Linked DNA regions of Danio rerio. The protein of the gene in region 2 interacts with the protein of the main gene of each other region in a biochemical or structural test. Links are inferred from orthologs where the notes say so. Each region holds a gene or a part of one and is shown on either strand. Other genes may lie near its edges. The genes, in order: sox10 and pax3a.

Region 1 (3,933 bases), on a different chromosome or scaffold from region 2:
GACCGCCTCGCGGATGCCGATGGGGAACCGGTCATCTTCCTCGTCGGACTTCACTGAGACCCCGCCGGAGACACCGGCTCCATCATCCCCGATCCCGGACATCTGAGACTGCTGACCGGGCAGAGGGGAGTCCGCGCCACCGGGAGCGCCCGACGAGTGACCAGGGGACATGGAGTGCCCATCGTCCGACACCCCGGGACTCATTTCCACCTCCGACATGCTGTGCTCCTCCGCCGACATCGGTCCACTAGTTCTGCGGCCACAGGTGACTTCGGTAGGTTTAATTTCCTCACTTAAATTTTATTTTAAATATAAATGTATTAATTTATACTTTACAAATGTTTTTTTCTTGTAAAATAATTGTGCTTTTGTTTATTATTTAAGATCATCCAGTGAAACCTTAACAGTTCTTTTTATATAATTCGAGTTTGTAAGAAGGAATCCTTCCGCCGTCTTCCTCTGGATATAGATCTGATGGAAACCTACAAAAATACACACACAGGTAATTTATTAGTTATAATAATCATTGTTATTATTTTATTAAACAGCTTGCTTCTGCAAAGCATGTCTTCCTAATGTATAAAATAGCATTAATATGTCGTTTTAATGGTTGGCTGTATGACCGCACAACCCCTTTGCTGTTCACCCGAACACCTCATGAACAAGATAAACCTGTTCAGGAAAAACCTACAAACACTGAGGCTTTGACTTTATTTAGAAGTCGCCTTTTTCCAGGGCAGCGCTGCAATCATACGGTGGCGTCAGTGGGCCTCGGTGTGTGTATATGTGTGTGTGTTATTTTAGCTTCACTTCTGCTAACAAGCTACTGTTGAAGGTTTGGCGGTTTGTTCAAGCTCCCGGGAGAGAAAGTGCTGGAATAATACCGGCTTCATTCCGCCTCGCTGCTGGATAAACACGGAGCGGCGCTGCCGTGGGCAGCTGAATTACACAGTGTTTGTTGGTGAAAGCACAAACGACGACTTATAACCAGCAGAAGAAGAAAAAAATCAAGAGAGTCATGGCAGTGTGTTTCTGAAATGTGAAGTAATCGTGAATTAAACGAGTGGATGTGGTTGACTAGGTCCAATTACAGAAAAATCGATCAAATAATTTATATGCGACAGAAGCTGTTGAGATGCGACCTGTCAGCTTGAACTTGAGTTACAGACATCCAATATTAACCCGAATACAAAAACACAGCATCCAACAGCAGTGTTAATTAAGATACAGGTGACTTCACATGAGCAGAACCATGTTTAGTTTATTTGTTTACAGGGTCAATGCACATTAATAAACATTACTGTAAAATGTGCTAGAGTTAGCCAAGAATGGCTACTTGTAGACCCCTTACAAAACACATTAACACATTGATCATTTGTTAATCACATGTATAGCCTACAGAAAGCGTTAATGGTTTGACTTGTCCAATTTATTTGGGACGAAAAAGAAAGCATCGCACAAGACTTGGTTTGTTTTAGTAGCTAACAAATGTATCCGTCAATTTCGGTAATTGCGCTGCTGGGTTTATTTTGTTTTAAGGAAAAGATTTCAGCGGCTGTTTTCTGTCAGGAGGACTTTTATAAACTTTATGCTCATTCATTTTAACTTTGCTCGCAACTCTTGCTTATTTGAGTTTCCTCCGCTGTAAACTTTATTTGTTCAGATTTGATTGGGTTCATCTTTGGCTGCTGTAGGGCGGATCATAACGCCTGGTTTGGCAATAATTTGCCCCTAATTCACTCATGCCAAAACACAAAACTCATAAATGACACAAACTCATTCGAATGAAACCTTTCAAACTAATCTGCGGAGATTATTATTGTATCAAACATTTGATTCAAACTTACACAAATGTGCATTTCAGTTAGTTTTACTTTACTTAAGTTTTCTGATCCTGTTATATTTGTTGTGAAAGGATGTGTAGATAAACAATATTATAAATTGTGTACTTTAAAGTTTGGTCTCTTTGTTAATCTTTGCGTTGGTTACATGAGCAATTTGGCAAGAGACGGCGATATATACAAATAGCCTTACGCAAGTAAAACTTCTCAGAAGATTAAATTTAAAAAAATTATTTCTTATAAAACTATTTAAAAACTGATTCACTTCGAATTAAAGTGTTCAAATGTATAATTTATCGGACTGTAAACATTTACTAAAAGATCTAAAAGTGTATGTACATCCCAAGTGGTCCGTGCACAGATAGATTAAGCCGTTCTTTCCAATTAAGACAGATTAACCCAACACGTCTCTGATTTACACATTCACGCAAATCTCGAAATTTATGCCCCGTGACACCAACTTTAAGTGTTCCTTTCGCCAAAAGATTAGATAAGTTGCACTTTTAAAGACGTCCTTTAATCCATTTCAATTAAAAACCTTCTCCATTACAATTATCCACGACCAAACCCATCAATACATAAACCGAAAAATCCAAAATAAGTAGATGTCGTTTATAAATGCACCGCTTATTATTAGTAGTATTATTACTAATAAGAAATGTAAAAGTTTCTCCGTTAGACAGTGCAATGGCGTATATATTCCCACACAGAGTAAGCGATAGAGAGAAAGCCAGTAATGCACTTACTTTACAGTGCAGCAGGTCGCCCGCCCAGCACGAGAGTCCGTCGGTTCAGCCCCCTCGCTCGCGCTCTGAATGCCTGCTCTGTGTCGCGCGTCGAGGCTTAAAGAGCCCCGTTGTGTGAAGAGCGAGAAAAAAATCAATTCATGGAAAAAAATCTCTTAAAGGAGCAACAGAGCCCTGTCGGGTCCCGCTCTGATTGGCTGCTGAGTTTTGCCCCAGAGGGCGGTGATTTCGGCTGCAAATCAACGACAGTAATATTTGGCCTCTCACAGGGGCATCTTACTTTTAATTCAGATCTTAAACTTTTTTAAATATACATTTGTGTCTTCAACTTTATTATTTTTTTATTATTCAGTTTGAATTTGCTTTTACGCTTGTTATTTATGTTTCTTTTATTGTTGTTTATGTAAAACACTTTGATTTTCCATTGTGTATGACATTCTATTTAAATAATCCTCCTTTGCCTTACATTTATATATATATATATATATATATATATATATATATATATATATATATATATATATATATATATATATATACACACACACACACACATATATATATATATGTAACTTCATTTAGGTTTTTGTTGATCTGAATTTTAGTTTTAGGTAAAGTTGTTTTATCATAAACATGCCGATTTGATAATTTCAACATATGTTAAAATCTAATCTTAAGTTTTCTAATAATTTTTCTTTATTTTTCAAACTTAAAAGCAGTGCATTAACAGCTTTAAGTTAAGTTTTGACAGGCTAATTGTGCAATTAAAACTATCCATTTGATTTGTGATTCGTTAATAAGAGTTGGGAGTGGATCAGAATTAAGCTAATTAATAAAAATGTTAAATAAAAATAACCGAATAATTCGGAACACACTAATTAAAACACATAAGTTAAATATTAAATGTGTTTACCTGAAGGCCACGTGGCCATTAATCGACATCAGAGAACCGCAAAAAAAAAATGTAAATCTCGGGGGGTGAATATTATTGCGCAAACCTTTTCGGCTCACAACCATGGCTGCAGTGCAAATGTAGAACACTTATTAAGTTACCCATAGCTAGCTAATGTTTTTCTTTGTGATGTAATGCGGTTATGCACGCAATATTTGATCAGCTTAATATGCTTTTGTCTGACATGTGATGTATTTCACAGGTGGTCTTTGGCTCCTCATTGGTGTCACGGAGATTCTTTCAACTCTTTTCCGATCACACTGGCCCGTTGTTGGCCTGGCTGTGCCTCAGGGTGAATCAGGGGTTGTGCGGGGTTTCGAGCGCTTCCACCCCGCAGAGCGCCAGCGGACCTGTCAGCAGCTCCAGCGCCATTAGCGGACGCGACTCTGCGCAC
Region 2 (3,933 bases):
ATCGAGTATAAAAAAAGTTGATTGAACATAAAACAATTAAGTTGTTCTCAAAATCCCAAGAGTTTTGTAGTTTCAGCTAATTTTAAATAAGCAGTTTTAACACGAAATCTTTTTTTTGTAAGAGTATATATTCGAAGTTCTGTTTGAACTATTGACAGTGTGAAGTTTTGTTCAGTTTGATTGATCAGGGGTCTCTGTGAATGAACGGGGCCTGTTTGACTGACGTGAGTTTCTCAATGAGAAAGAAAAGAAGCTTCAGAGACTGCAGGGAACAGAGGAGGAGCACGTGAGACGGAAAGAGAGAGAGTGAGAGAGAGAGAGAGAGAGAGAGAGAGAGAGAGAGAGAGAGAGAGAGAGAGAGAGAGAGAAATGTAGAGTAATGCAAGCGAATGAGTGGGATGGATGACTATATTGAATGTCTCTGCGTTATAAATAACGTTCTTCGCAATTGTGTTGGTCTCCACAGACAGCTTTTACGGCACTCTCGGCGTCATACCCTGCTGAGACCCCCGCAAGCTGCTCCTTTCATTCTGTAGAGACTCTACTGTCCACATGCATACAATAAATACCTCTGTGTTGTGCAGCTTTTGGGTTTTTACTTGAAATTCGGGGTTTGCATGGGATTCATGTTCGATGCAATAGATAGGCCCGTGGTTGTGGCAGAAGAAAGCAAAACGGTGGAACTTTCCAAACTTTGCGTCCAGCACTTTTTCAATGTTTCGGTTATATGGCACTCCTATCTCAGGTCATGGTGTCTCTTTTTTTATGAGTTGAAATATGTGCATATGATAAGCAAGACAGCCACATTTGCAACTTTTGGAGGGGCTTCCAGGAACAACGTTAAGATCCATTGTTTTATTAAGATCCATTGTACCAAACTACCATTGTTCTATTAAAATAAATATTTTAGAAGGTATTGAAGAAAACATCTGTATTATCTCAACACATCTTCCAATTTGCCCTGCGGCATCACAGTTTATGTCTGAAAGTGTTATCAGTGAAACATCCCCTTGAACTCCCGAGGTCACAACATAAGAAACTTTCAGGATTTAGACCAATCAGCAGGCTTTCCCAGGTCTTTGGATCCTCCCTCTTTGACCAATCACAGTCCTCGCTGGGCAGAAGGAGCCAACAACTCAACAACTGATAAAATGTTTCGCCACTGATCACCGTTTCAATCCACAACAACAAGTGTGTCAACAACAACGGAACCAAGCTTTGAGAGTGTTATCTTCCAAACCGCTTTGAGATAAACCACGATTGAAAACCTGGATATCCGTGAATAACTTCAGAGGACTGGAAGCGACGGTTTGACTTCTGAAGTTGACTTTTTGTTTTCGCCTGAAGACCTCAATACTTAGGCAGTCCACTGACACTTGACGACTAGCGCTTTCTCTTTGGATAACTTTTTCTATCAAGTGCTTCGTGCATCCTTTTTTCGTGCAGAGGAGATATGACCGCATTAGCGGGGGGCATTTCCAGGATGATGCGCCCCACGCCACCCCAAAACTACCCGAGAGGTGGCTATTCCTTGGAGGGTAAGGTGTTAGCTTGCTATAGCACAGCCTACTAGATACATCCGCAAAGTTGTTTTTTAAAGACCTATTTAATCTTATGGATATTTTATTGAAATGACATTACTGAAAATGACATTAATAAAATATTTAATTGTTTATAATTTATTTAGCATTTGTATATAATTAGTAAGTATATTTTAGTCAGTAGGCTAACACTGAAAAACTACATTTAGCTAATTATTTTGAAGCGTCAAAATTACTGAATTAGTTTTTTTTATTACATTGAAAGAAAATCAAGCTGAATCCAGAGAAAACTGCATAATGCAGTCGAAGTGAACTAGTTTTAGTTTAGATTTAGGAAGTCAATATTAGACGTACATTTTGTACAAAGCATTTATTATAAAATATCTTATTTTTAAAAACATTGTCAGTATTGACGTACTTAAGAAATATATTTTAAAATTAAAATATGTAGTAAGAAGTAATGACTTAGATTGCTATTATCATTATTAACCATTGACATTTTACAAGCAGACCAGCTTTTTATTATGGTTAAGTAATATTTCTGAAATACATAACTAATTGTTAATATCAATAGAAGTCGCTTTATTACTGTATAATATTTATATCAGGTCAGTCAAAGGCTGTCAAGTTTTTTTTACGATTATGCTTTCACGTTTAGCTTGCATACAATGTCATTCGCTGACTTTTCCTCTTTTGCTGCAGTCTCTACGCCTTTAGGTCAGGGCCGCGTGAACCAGCTCGGCGGAGTCTTCATAAACGGGCGCCCTTTGCCCAATCACATCCGCCACAAGATAGTAGAGATGGCCCATCACGGCATACGACCGTGCGTCATCTCCCGGCAGCTGCGAGTCTCACACGGATGCGTGTCCAAAATTTTATGCAGGTACCAGGAGACCGGTTCCATTCGGCCCGGGGCTATTGGTGGCAGCAAACCCAAGGTAGGACATCACAATTTAAAGGTCATTTGATGTATTGGTAGTACTGTTTTTTATTACTGACTTCATTATAATGTTTTGGCAGTCTCGTGTACACTTTAAAACATTGTGTTGTTTTAACTGAAATTGGGTAAAATATGGAGTAACCCAAATATTGGGTTAAATTCGGTACTATTAATTATATATAAAAAAAACATGCAATTTGGTTAGTCCCTATTACACCTTTTACAAAATGAAGAGTTTAGTTTTTAGTTCACGGCTAAGTTTCTTTGCTGTCTTTGATTTTGTTCCCATTGTTTAATAAACGTATCTAATGGTTCACACATTAAAAATAATAGTTTTACTGATATACTGTATATGTAAATTAATTATGTGAATTGCTTTTATTAGATTTAAATTCTAATATTAATTTGATTGTTGTATTATTTAAAGCACGCCTAATAACAGAATTTTAATAAAAGTTCCTCCTTGGCTTTCATTTTTGAAGCTAAAATTTTAGGAGCAATACATTTTTTATTTTATTTTACTGAACCTCATGACAACAAACAGAGAAATAAACATCATATTCTGATATAGTAAACAACAGTTTTTATTTAATAAAAACCTTTGTATCATAAGTGAATTGACCATTTTATATAGTGCTGTTAGATATTTTCTAGTTGTTACAAAGATCAGGATCTCAAAATTAAATAAACCATTGTGTTACCATTGCAATAAAAGCAGAGCACAACTCCTGACGTGGAAAAGAAAATCGAAGAATACAAGAGAGAAAATCCAGGGATGTTCAGCTGGGAGATTCGGGATAAACTTCTGAAAGATGGAATCTGCGATCGGAATAACGTTCCTTCAGGTACTCGACTTTATCTGTCAATCTGTGCCGCCGTTTGATTTATGTTTATATAAATATTACTACCCACACCTGTTGTATATGTGGCTAATATAAGGTCACGAGCAATAGTATTTAATATACATTGTATCAATGCATGTATATTTGTAGGTGTTAAAACATTCCACAAGTGCAATTCTGTCAATTGATGAATCCTGTCGTGTCTCTCCGCAGTGAGTTCCATCAGCCGCATGCTGCGCTGTAAATTTGGAGGAAACGGAGATGAAGATGAGGATGACGATGAAGTGGAGAAAAGAGAGATCGAAGAAAACGAAAGAAGAGCCAAGCACAGCATCGACGGAATTCTTGGGGACAGATGTAAGTTTTCAGAAGTTTACACTTTTTTTGTTTGCGAAGTTGAAATAAGCTGATTTTTTTACTGGTATATCTACATGAGTTCTTGATGGATAGAAAACATATAGGTATAGCCTATCTCACTTCTTCCAAACGTGCGTATTATTGTTGCGTTTGTTGTTGTTGTTATTTCTATATCATTTATATGCTAATAGTTGTTATTAATAGACAATATTATGTTTATGTAATATAATGTACTTATAAAAACTAACTTACA

What was found.
Region 1: the proteins of pax3a (region 2) and sox10 form a complex in vitro, tested with the Homo sapiens proteins (2 studies listed by BioGRID and IntAct). The link is inferred for Danio rerio from reciprocal best matches to the Homo sapiens genes PAX3 and SOX10.

What each region holds. Positions count from the first base shown.
Region 1 is NC_133178.1:1,253,260-1,257,192, reverse strand, and holds the start of sox10 (transcription factor SOX-10), read right to left. Parts: upstream 2,720-3,933; 5' UTR 2,588-2,719; intron 483-2,587; 5' UTR 241-482; coding exon 1-240. UniProt on the Homo sapiens protein: Transcription factor that plays a central role in developing and mature glia.
Region 2 is NC_133177.1:50,677,897-50,681,829, reverse strand, and holds the start of pax3a (paired box protein Pax-3a), read left to right. Parts: upstream 1-1,177; 5' UTR 1,178-1,453; coding exon 1,454-1,538; intron 1,539-2,243; coding exon 2,244-2,479; intron 2,480-3,196; coding exon 3,197-3,326; intron 3,327-3,536; coding exon 3,537-3,680; intron 3,681-3,933. UniProt on the Homo sapiens protein: Transcription factor that may regulate cell proliferation, migration and apoptosis. Involved in neural development and myogenesis. Transcriptional activator of MITF, acting synergistically with SOX10.